Linked DNA regions of Macaca fascicularis. The protein of the gene in region 3 interacts with the protein of the main gene of each other region in a biochemical or structural test. Links are inferred from orthologs where the notes say so. Each region holds a gene or a part of one and is shown on either strand. Other genes may lie near its edges. The genes, in order: BCL3, BTRC and NFKB2.

Evidence for each region.
Region 1: the proteins of NFKB2 (region 3) and BCL3 form a complex in vitro, tested with the Homo sapiens proteins (2 studies listed by BioGRID). The link is inferred for Macaca fascicularis from reciprocal best matches to the Homo sapiens genes NFKB2 and BCL3.
Region 2: of the proteins of NFKB2 (region 3) and BTRC, one has a biochemical effect on the other in vitro, tested with the Homo sapiens proteins (2 studies listed by BioGRID, with this or other methods). The link is inferred for Macaca fascicularis from reciprocal best matches to the Homo sapiens genes NFKB2 and BTRC.

Annotation. Positions count from the first base shown.
Region 1 is NC_088393.1:52,781,787-52,785,953, forward strand, and holds the start of BCL3 (B-cell lymphoma 3 protein), read left to right. Parts: upstream 1-1,366; 5' UTR 1,367-1,449; coding exon 1,450-1,705; intron 1,706-3,906; coding exon 3,907-4,060; intron 4,061-4,167. UniProt on the Homo sapiens protein: Contributes to the regulation of transcriptional activation of NF-kappa-B target genes. In the cytoplasm, inhibits the nuclear translocation of the NF-kappa-B p50 subunit.
Region 2 is NC_088383.1:110,523,424-110,527,070, reverse strand, and holds part of BTRC (F-box/WD repeat-containing protein 1A), read right to left. Parts: intron 2,512-3,647; coding exon 2,350-2,511; 3' UTR 2,319-2,349; intron 1-2,318. UniProt on the Homo sapiens protein: Substrate recognition component of a SCF (SKP1-CUL1-F-box protein) E3 ubiquitin-protein ligase complex which mediates the ubiquitination and subsequent proteasomal degradation of target proteins. Recognizes and binds to phosphorylated target proteins.
Region 3 is NC_088383.1:111,409,784-111,412,668, reverse strand, and holds the end of NFKB2 (nuclear factor NF-kappa-B p100 subunit), read right to left. Parts: intron 2,868-2,885; coding exon 2,654-2,867; intron 2,492-2,653; coding exon 2,322-2,491; intron 2,201-2,321; coding exon 2,098-2,200; intron 1,968-2,097; coding exon 1,816-1,967; intron 1,699-1,815; coding exon 1,629-1,698; intron 1,414-1,628; coding exon 1,241-1,413; intron 1,109-1,240; coding exon 997-1,108; intron 905-996; coding exon 780-904; 3' UTR 632-779; downstream 1-631. UniProt on the Homo sapiens protein: NF-kappa-B is a pleiotropic transcription factor present in almost all cell types and is the endpoint of a series of signal transduction events that are initiated by a vast array of stimuli related to many biological processes such as inflammation, immunity, differentiation, cell growth, tumorigenesis and apoptosis.

The DNA.
Region 1 (4,167 bases), on a different chromosome or scaffold from region 3:
AGAAGGAGACCGGGGGAGAGAACCAGAGAGACGCCGCAAGCCCCCTGGGCAGGTCTGGGGTGCAGCCACCATGCCCCGCCCTCTGTGTGCCCAAAGCCTCCCTCTCCGCCTCCTGTGACTCAGTGACCCGGACTCAACCCCAGCGGCTGCCCCGCCCCCAGGGAAATCCGGGAAAGCCCCGGACCTTCGGGGCCCCACCCCGGGGCGGGGAGAGGCAGAGAAGGGGAGGAGACCGGGAAGAGTCCCGCCTCCCCCCTCCTTCCCTCCCATCTCCTGCCTGAGTCATGCCCCCAACCCGCCTGGCTTGTTCCCCACCCATCAACCCCTCTTCGCGGTGGGAGGGGAAGTAAGGGGGAAGCCAAACTGCTCCCCTCTCCTGCAGCACCGGCCTCGGTCGCGCTGACTCTGGCCTGGCGTCTGTGTCTCTTGCTATCTCTCTTTCTCTCAAGATCTCTGCGCCTGTCTCCATGTCTCTTTCTCTCTGTGCACCTAGGATTTTCCGAGCACCCACCCCGGTGCCCTGGGGGCCCTGGCTGGGTGCAGGGCCCCCAACGCGGACAGAGACACAATCAGTAGAGCGCTCCCCACCCTCACCCCACCCCCAGCCCCTTTAGACCCACAGCCGAAGAGGCACGTGGAGTGGCAGAAATGGAAGAGAGGAGGGAGAGGAATCGTTCCTGGCCGCCTGCCGAGTGCCAGTCCTTGCCCCGGGTGCGTCTCTTCACTCCCACTAAGGAGGAAACGGCTCAGAGAGGGGAAGTGTTTGACCAAGGTCACCCAGCGAGGAAGTGGGAACCGAGATTCGAACCTGCGTCCCAGAGATGCCAAGGCCTCCTGAGAGGCAGAGAAGCAGACAGCAACTGACAGAGAGATGGTGACAGACACAAAGAGACAAAAGAGAGAGACAGAGACCGAACAGAGCATACAGAGACAAACGCGGGGGTGCGAAGAGAAACACCTACTCAGACAGGAGAACCAGAGAGACAGTTACAGACTCAGCGATAGAGAGGCTGAGAGATAGAGCCAGAAAGATAAAAACAGAGGCAGAGAGACTGAGAGCGGCCCTTGGCAGCAGGGGTAGGGACACCCCCCCACCCTCCGACCCCGCCTCCTCTCTCCCCACCCCTCCTTTCCTCCCACTCCCCCGCCAAGGCCTGGCTGCCCGGGGCGCCGCGGGCCGGGAGGGGGCAAGCGGGGCGCGGCGCGGGCGGGGCGCACAGCAGGCTGCACCGCAGAGCGGCGGGAGCAGCGGCGGGTCCAGGAAACCCCTGGGGCGTACGGGTGGCCCCGGGGGGGGCCGGGGGCGGGGAGGCGGGCGGCCGGCACCGCCCCGGCCGACAAAAGTCCCTTCAGTTCAGCCGGCTGCAGGGGAAGTCCCGGCGCCCGGCGAAACCACCCTCCCGTGCAGCCGAGCCCAGCAGCTCTCCGGCCGCCGTCCCCGGCGGCCCCATGCCCCGATGCCCCGCGGGGGCCATGGACGAGGGGCCCGTGGACCTGCGCACCCGACCCAAGGCCGCCGGACTCCCGGGCGCCGCACTGCCGCTCCGCAAGCGCCCGCTGCGCGCGCCCTCCCCGGAGCCCGCCGCTCCCCGCGGCGCTGCGGGCCTTGTTGTCCCCCTGGACCCCCTGCGCGGCGGCTGCGACCTGCCGGCGGTCCCCGGGCCCCCCCACGGCCTGGCCAGGCCGGAGGCGCTGTACTACCCGGGTGAGTGGCCCCCCGAGGGTCTGGGCCTGGTAGGAGCCACACAGAGCATAGGGTCACCAGAGCCAGGAGACACAGCTGGAGGCACAAACCCGTCTATCTCCAGGAACCTGGGGGACAAGAGGATGTAACCCCAGGTTCCAGGGATACAGATAGGAGATCATCAGGGAGCCAGTAAGCTGTGCCTTGGGACACAGGCATCTGGGGGTTTGGGGACCCTGGGGGGCAGAGCCCAAGGGCTGAGTGACATGGGGGGGCCAGGGACAATGCCCACTGGTACAAATATGGGGGTGTCAAGGAATCAGGACACAGAGCCTGGTGTCCTGGGGACAAAAAAGTACAAGCTTTTAAACCAGATGTGTAGGGTTATGAGGAAGCTGAGCTGGGCTGGAGAAACTGGGGTTCCTTGTATCCTGCTATTAGAATCAAAGGAAGTCAGGGTAACAGAGACTGGGGTTCTAAGGAGACAGATACTGAGGATCTCAGGATGTCACAATCTCAGGAACCCAAGATATCTGGAGACATGGGCATTATGAAAACAGAGATGGGGTTCTGAGCACCCCAATACCTGGGATCACAAGGATCCAAGGGAATGAACCAGAGCTCCAGGGACCCAGATACCAGGGGGTCTTGAGGACCCAGGGGAACAGAGACCCGGGGTTCTGGGTACTCAGTTATGTGGGACCACGAGCGATCAGGGTCCTATTTGAGGTCAAGATCAGGTGGGCCGGAGGGGATCGGGGGACTGAGGATCCTAAGATTGGGTAATTCTGAGACTCTGGGTAATTTAGAGGCAGGATGAAAGATTCAGGGGTCTCCAGACAGAAAGCCTCAGGGCCCCAAGGCCTGGTATTGGAGATACGGGGACCTGGAAACTTGAGAGTTCAAGAACAGAGGACCCACAAGGATCAGCAGAGGACAAAGACAGCACACTTTTCCCTCCAACCCATCTCCATCCCTGATCTCAAGAAGGGGTGTCCCCTAGCACAGCTGTAGCCGTGTCACCATCCCCAATTGACCCCCAAAGCTGCAGAGAGCCCTTCTCCAGAGCCCCAAGACTTTAGGTAGTTTCTGCACCTCCCACCCCATCAGTGTGACAGCTGGAGAGCCTCAAGCTATATGCGTCAGGAGTTCTGCCACGGCCTCCCAGCTTTCCCATTCCAAGAGTAAGAACGCAGGCCTCAGTTTTCCCCGTCTGTGTGATGGGTTGGTATAGATTTGCCTGCTGCTGTGGTCCCCCGCCTTTTGTTTTTGTTTTGCTTTGTTTTGTTTTTTTGAGACAGAGTTTTGCTCTGTCACCCAGACTGAAGTGCATTGGCGTGATCTCAGCTCATTGCAACCTCCGACTCCCAAGTTCAAGCAATTCTTGTGCCTCGGCCTCCCGAGTAGCTGGGATTACAGGCATGCACCACCACACTTGGCTAATTTTTGTATTTTTAGTGGAGACAGGGTTTCACCATGTTGCACAGACTAGTATTGAACTCCTGAGCTCAGGTGATCCACCCGCCTCGGCCTCCCAAAGTATTGGTGTTAGAGGCACAAGCCACTGCCCCCGGCCTGCCATGGCCCCTTTTTTAACAGTTTGATCTAAAATTACCCACATGTGGTGGTGAGCATCTGTAATTCCAGCTACCTGGGAGGCTGAGGCAGGAGAATCGCTTGAACCTGGGAGGCGGAGGTTGCAGTGAGGCAAGATCGTGCCACTGCACTCCAGTCTGGGCAACAGAGCAAGACTCCATCTCAAAAACAGTTTGAACAGGCTTCTGGTGACACCTCCTCTCTCCCTCCATTCTCTCCAAACCCACTCTACATTTATCCCACACCCTGCACCCAGCTCTTCATCAGCCACACAATCACTCCGCAGACAGTCCCTCAGGTTCCCTGCTAGGTGATGATGGGTGCGCCCTCTGTTCTTAAGGGACCCTTTGTCTGATTGGAGATTGGGGTCAGAAGATAAGTGACAATAAGGGTGACCAGCCCTGGAGGGAGAGGAAGCTGCCGGAGCCCAGAGGAGGGATGTGGAAGGGGGTTTGTTTTAGGCCCTGAGGACCCAGTATAGGATGCAAAAGGGACCTGGGAGAAAAGGTAGGTGACACTGCAGGAGCAAAGATCTAGAAGTAGGGAGCGATCTAGAAGTGGGGAGCAGGTTGAGGGTCTGTGAGTGTGGCCTCACCCATGTCCCTCCTCTGTCCTCCATTGCCTAGGAGCCTTACTGCCTTTGTACCCCACTCGGACCATGGGCTCCCCGTTTCCTCTGGTGAACCTGCCTACACCCCTGTACCCCATGATGTGCCCCATGGAACACCCCCTTTCTGCTGACATCGCCATGGCCACCCGAGCAGATGAGGACGGAGACACGTGAGTGATAGTCCCCTATTAAGGGGAGGGGTGGTTGGGAAGACCAGCTGTCCATAACACAGGGCCACTCAGCTCCCGTGGACCTGAGTCAGAACTCGGTCTCTACC
Region 2 (3,647 bases), about 890 kb from region 3:
TGGACTGATGGGGAAGTTACACTAAAGGCAGGGCTTGCTGACATGCTCAGGGCTGTGGTGTTCAAGCAGAGTGACTCTGATGTCTTTAGGCTGAGAGTGACCACGGTTGGCATAGCTTTCACCTGCCCTGTAGAATGGCAGGGCAGGGGTCGGGGATGGTCTGTGGGCCCTGCCTTTGAGTGGCCATGAGCATGGTGGTGCCACTAACAGAAGTGGGGGAATCAAGGAAAGCTGGCCCGGCTGTGTGGCTGGAGGGTACCAGCAGTGTAAAGGAGGGGACAGTGTAGTTGAGGATGTGAGCACTAGAAGTGCTCTTGCTATCTTCAAGGACAGCTGTGTGGATGGCAGCTGGAAATGTGGCCTGGAGATTAAAGCAGAGGCTTGGACTGGAGACAGAAATTTGAGTCTTCTACATTGAGATGAGATCTGAAGCTTTGGGAAGAGAGAAGGCAGCCTAAGAAGGAACTTAGATAAGGAAGAAAGAGAGGCCGGGCATGGTGGCTCACACCTGTAATCCCAATACTTTGGGAGGCCAAGGGAGGTGGATCACTTGAGCTCAGGTGTTTGAGACCAGCCTGGGCAACATGGTGAAACCCCATCTCTACAAAAAAAATACAAACAATTAGCTGGGTATGGTGTTGTGTGCCTGTTGTACTCAGGAGGCTGAGGCAGGAGAATCACTTGAGCCTGGGAGGTGGAGGTTGCAGTGAGCTGACATTGTGCCACTGCACTCCAGCTTGGGCGACAGGAGCGAAGCCCTGTCTCAAGAAATAAAATAGGCCAGGCGCGGTGGCTTGGCCTTGAGAGGCCGAGGCAGGTGAATCATGAGGTCAGGAGATCGAGACCATCCTGGCTAATATGGTGGAACCCCGTCTCTACTAAAAATACAAAAAATTAGCCTGGCACGGTGGCGGGCACCTGTAGTCCCAGCTATTCAGGAGGCTGAGGCAGGAGAATGGTGTGAACTCAGGTGGCAGAGCTTGCAGTGAGCCGAGATCGCGCCACTGCACTGCAGCCTGGGCGAAAGAGCGAGACTACGTCTCAAAAAAAAGAAATAAGATAAAATAAAAATAATAAGAAAAGCCAGAAACAGACTCTTAGGAGTGAGGGGGAAAGAGGCACAAATAATCAGAGAGCCAGGAAGAATATTAAAAATAGCAAAGTGTCACAGAAGTCTAAGGAAGAGAAAATTTTGGGCAAAAGGAGGGGGTAGGTATAGGGAGATTGCAGTATTAATACTAATGACCAGTTTTTCCTGAGGGCATGCTATGTATTCGGCACTGTGCTAAGCACTAGGAATTTTCCATACAGTATCTCCATGCAGCCTTCACAGGGCTCCATGAGGTGAGCAGTGCCCCTCGTGTTACTCATCAGGAGATTCAGGCTCTGGGAAGTTACTTGTCCAAGGGCACATAGCCTGTGCGACTTGGCTGAGGAACGATGAACCGTGTCCTCTGTGGGAGAAAGAGGTGCTGAGGCAAGCCCAGTTGGGCGTGAATCACTGCCCTCAGTGGAACACTGCAAAGAGAGATGCAGAAACGTGTAGCGAACATGTACTTCTGCCAGGAGAACTGAGGCAACGCTCCTCAGCAGCTAGGGCAGCCTTCTCAAACTGGCAACAACCTAGTGTATTCAAACTGGTCAGAACACCACGTATGATCTGAATATACCATAATATGTATGGACCACCTGGGTATTTTAGGATCTTCCCCTGCCTGAGAGAGAGTTTGGAGACTTGAGTGGGAGGACACATGGAGTTCTCACCAACGTCAGAGGTCAAAAGACAGGTCCTCTTTTTGGAGGGTTGAGGAATGGGGATAGGGATATAAAAGCTACTTTTTATATTCCTTTTAAAATCTGCCCTTTTATTTCTATGTCAGTGTGAACTTTCACCAAGAGATGTTTCCATTCACACATTAGACATCAGAGTGTCTACTTGGCTTGAAACGTCTCTATTGTAGGTATTGTGTGATCTGGGAACTTAAACATCACAGGCCTTTGGGTCATTACTTAGTTTTCAAACTGATTCAAATCTCATTTTATTTTCATAACAGTACTACTAGATAACTAGGGCAGGAATGACTAGGCTTACCACACACATAGGACCCTACAATCACCTAGAACTGAGGCTGGCTACCTTGGTGAAAGGCACTGTCCATACTGTGGCAGCTTCAGCCCTGTCTCACATTGTCTGCTTCCTCGGCTTTACAGGACTTGGTGACACAAATGGCAGGAGAAAGCTCCATGAACTAGCAATACCTTACAGCTAATATCCTGTCTCCTACCCACAGTGTTATGTACATAATAGATTTTGATACCTGGGCAAGTTTGAGGTCAGTATATGGTTATTTATCTGGAGATGTAGGTGTATGTTCGAGAAGGGGAACGGGGGGGTTCAGCTTGGGCAGCCGGATCATTTAGGAAGTCCCAGATGAGGATTGTGTCATCATGTGAACTACTGACAATCTGGAATTCATCAAACTGGAGTCGAAAAACTCTTCCGGAATGCTCCTAAAGAAGTAGAAACAAAAAGGGTAGGAACTTGAACTACTCAAAATCAATAGGACACAAATTTAGCAAGATGTCAAAAGGAGTCTACAGAAAGGCTATGGTTTGCTGTTAATTTTCTACCATGAAGTTGTTTTTTTAAAAAAAGAGAGAGGCCGGGTGCAGTGGCTCACGGCTGTAATCCCAGCACTTTGGGAGCCCGAGGCGGGCGGATCACGAGGTCAGGAGATCTAGACCATCCTGGCTAACACGGTGAAACCCCATCTCTACTAAAAATACAAAAAATTAGCTGGGCATGGTGGCACGTGCCTGTAGTCCCAGTTACTTGGGAAGCTGAGGCAGAAAAATTGCTTGAACCTGGGAGGCAGAGGTTGCAGTGAGCTGAGATCATGCCACTGCACTCCAGCCTAGGTAACAGAGTGAGGCTCTGTCTAAATAAATACATAAATAAATAAATTAAAAAAAAAGAAAATTTACTTTGGCTAAAGGCAGCATGGAAAAGTCAAATACTAGGCAGCTGTAAACAAAGTAATATTCTTTGGCCAAGACATGCTAAATAGCATGCTATTAATAGTTTCTCATGCCAACCCTTTTTGGCTTAGGGTGGATGACAGCATTCCTTACTACCTCCCTGGTTTTATCTTCTAAGTTCCTTCTATAATCAGAGGTCAAGGATTGGTGAGCAATAAGCAGTATGCTGATAAATGTTTATCAACCAACTTTGCTACTTTGTAAAACCACTGGTAGATTTCCACGGCATTAAAAACTCCTACCATGGCCAATTATAAGCTAGTAATAGTCAACCAGCTTGCAAAATTCATGAATAGTTGGCTCTCATAAGTGAGTATGAGCCTGTTCTAGCATACCACTGGCAGTTACCACTACCCTGATGAAGATGTAGAATGTTCCCAGCATACTGGAAAACAATCTCACACCCCTTACTAAACAATGTTATCTCCACTCCAATTTTATCATCATCATCATCTTTTTATTTTTTTTGAGACGGAGTCTTGCTCTGTTGCCCAGGCTAGAGTGCAGTGGCGTGATCTCCACTCACCGCAAGCTCTGCCTCCTGGGTTCATGCCATTCTCCTGCCTCAGACGTAGCTGGGACTACAGGCGCCCGCCACAACGCCTGGC
Region 3 (2,885 bases):
TGACATGGCTCTGCCTGAGCCCGGGCCGGCCTCGGGCCACCCACGAGGGCCTCCCGGTCTAGGGCCCGACCGCGCCGGACGCGGTGTCCGGGGCAGGGCAGGGCTGGGGCCTGGGCCTCAGGAGCCTAGGCTAGGGGCACGTCCGAGAGCCCCTTTTTGTGATAATGTTTTGCACTTTTTCGTACAGGGTGGGCGGGGGTGGGAGGGGCTAGCGCCCCTGAACTTTTGATGCTTTTTTTTTGTGTGGGAGAGGCCTGATGCCATTTCTGCTTTCTGCTGAGACCACCCCACCCTGACACCAGCAGTCCCCCCTCTGTCCTGGGGCCTGGCTTGGACAGAGACCAGGATTTGGGGCTGAGCTGGTTTCCCCTCCTTCCTCCCCAAGGGCTCACCCTCTCTCTTGCTGGAGGTGGAGGAAGGGCGTCCATGCCAAGGCCCCATACCTGGGCCGGGGGCAGCACGACCTGGCTTTCCCCGCTTCAGTGGGCCTTGCCCTTTGTACAGCCTCCACCCCCATTAAAATTGCTCTGGACTTGCTGGCTGGGCCTCATCCTTCTCTTCTCACCATGCCTGGCGTGTGGGCAGGATGGGTAGCTGGTTCCAGGGACAAGAGTCACATCAGGGGCTGCCATAAGTTGGGAAGGAGGGGTCCTCCCCTTCCCATGAGAATCCTTTATTTGTCCCAACTGAGGGGTGGGTGTGGGGTGTTAAATAAGATTTGAAATAGGTGGGGACACTGTACAGGGGGTGCAGGAAGGGGGGTGGTGGCGGGCAGCAAGTCAGTGCACCTGAGGCTGGGGGTGCCCGTGGCAGAGCCCTCCTGGCGGCTCAGGGGGTGGGCCCAGCTTCTCTGCCTCCTGCTCCACTGACTGGCTCCCGTATGCACTGTCTTCCTTCACCTCTGCTGGGGGTAAATGGGGACAGGAATGGGATAGTCAAGGACTCAGGCCTCCCACCCTCCAAGCCCAGATCCCCCTTCCAGGGATGCCCCTTTACCTGTGCTGGGCAGCTTGTCTCGGGTCTCTGGACCCCTCAGCAGCCTCACTCCCTCCTCTAGGCCCATATCAGACAGGGCCTCCAGCAGACCTGCCATGTCTCCGCCAGCCAGCTAAAAAAAAACAGCGGGATGAGGTCTGAGTCATGGTTAGGGTGTATGCTTGGAAGCCCTGGGGCCAAGGAGGCACCTGGACTCAGATCGGGAAAGGAGGATGGGGAGGGGGCAGGGCGAAGGCCAACCCACCTCATAGCTGCGCAGGAGGCTGCCGCTGGGCGAGGCCGTCTGTCGGTACGTGTCCACCAGGCTGCGCAGCCCCAGACGCTCTGCCAGCTCTGCCCAGCTGCCCTGGGCTTCTGGCCCGTCTAGCAGCTGCTCCAGGTTCTGCAGAGCTGTATCACCAAGTGACAGTCCCGGCCCTGAGGGGGACACACAGACATGTCATTTACCTCCAGAGTTGGGTGGGGACATGGACACCTGAACACTGCCTTTCTCCCAAGGTAAGCGACAGACAGGACCACGAGGGGTGATGGATGGGGCTGAAGGTAGAGAAAGGGAGGCCTCTTTCAGAGGGTCCTGAAGGAGAAGAATTTCTGTTTGAGGAATTGGGCTGGGGATGCTTGATGCTCCTCACCTGCAGGGCTGGGCGGGGTCAGGGGTGGCTCCATGGTACTCTGAGCGGCATTTATCAGCAAGGTCTTCACCTGGGGAGACAGCCGCCGCTCTGACTACCTCCCACCTCGTCCTTAAGCCCGTGTCTTTAAGTCCAGATACTCTGGACCCCGTCACTCAGAGCGCTTCTAGTTCCAGGCTGGCCTCACCTTGGTGCTGCAAGTGAGGTCAAGAGGCGTGTGGCCCCGGAAGCTGCTTCGGGTGTCCTTCTCAGGCCCTTCAGTGTCCGAGTCGCTATCAGAGGTAGGGGGTGAAGGCAGCGGGCACAGGGGCTCCTCGTTTTCAGCATGGATGTCAGCACCTGGGAGAGGGAGGCCGTCATGGGGAGGTTTGGTGGGGGCCCACATTAAGGACTGCAAAGTGGGAGGACTGGGAGGCACCTCTTTCCCTTCCCCTCACCCTGTTCAAGTGCCCCTGAGGGTGAGACTGACCAGCCTTCAGAAGGAGGCGGGTGAGGGTCGGGTACCCCAGTCCAGCTGCCAGGTGCAGGGGTGTGTTTCCCGCAAAGGTGCGAGCATTCACGTTGGCCCGGAGCTGGGGGTGCGAGCGGCAAGGGTTGACACCACAGCATGGTCCCCCTAGCCAGCCCCCGCTTCACCGTCTTTGGCCCCTCCACCACCCGTGGTCCCACTCCTTCCACAATCCTCAGTCCCACCTTGGTGACCAGATGGGTGACCAACCCCAGTTCCTCCATCTCGGTGGCTAGATGCAAGGCTGTTCGCCCCCCTTGCCGTTCTGTGGCCTCCACTTCAGCCCCACTGTCCACCAGCAGATCCAGGCACTCAGGGCTTCGGGCTCGGACCGCCAGGTGTACTGGATACAATCCTAAGGATACAGGATACTCAACCTGCAGCTATGACCCTTAAGGCGGTCCTTGGGCCAGCCCTGACCATTCAACCTTGACACCTCATAGTCCAATCTGCACACTGGTCAGACACCCTCCCTGGTCCCCACCTGCCCCCTAGTCAGGTGAGATGGGGAGCTCACCCTCAAAGTCAGGCATATGCAACAGCTGGGGCACAGCAGGAGCTCCACTCTGAAGCAGTGCACGCAGCAGCTCAGGGGCACCAGCGCCTGCCCGCAGCGCCAGATGCATGGCTGAGTCTCCATGCCGATCCAGCAGAGCTGGGTCTGCACCCACCCGCAGCAGAAAGCTCACCACACTCGTCTGCCTGGTGATCACCGCCAGGTGCAGGGGCGTCTGGGGATGAAAGCAGGG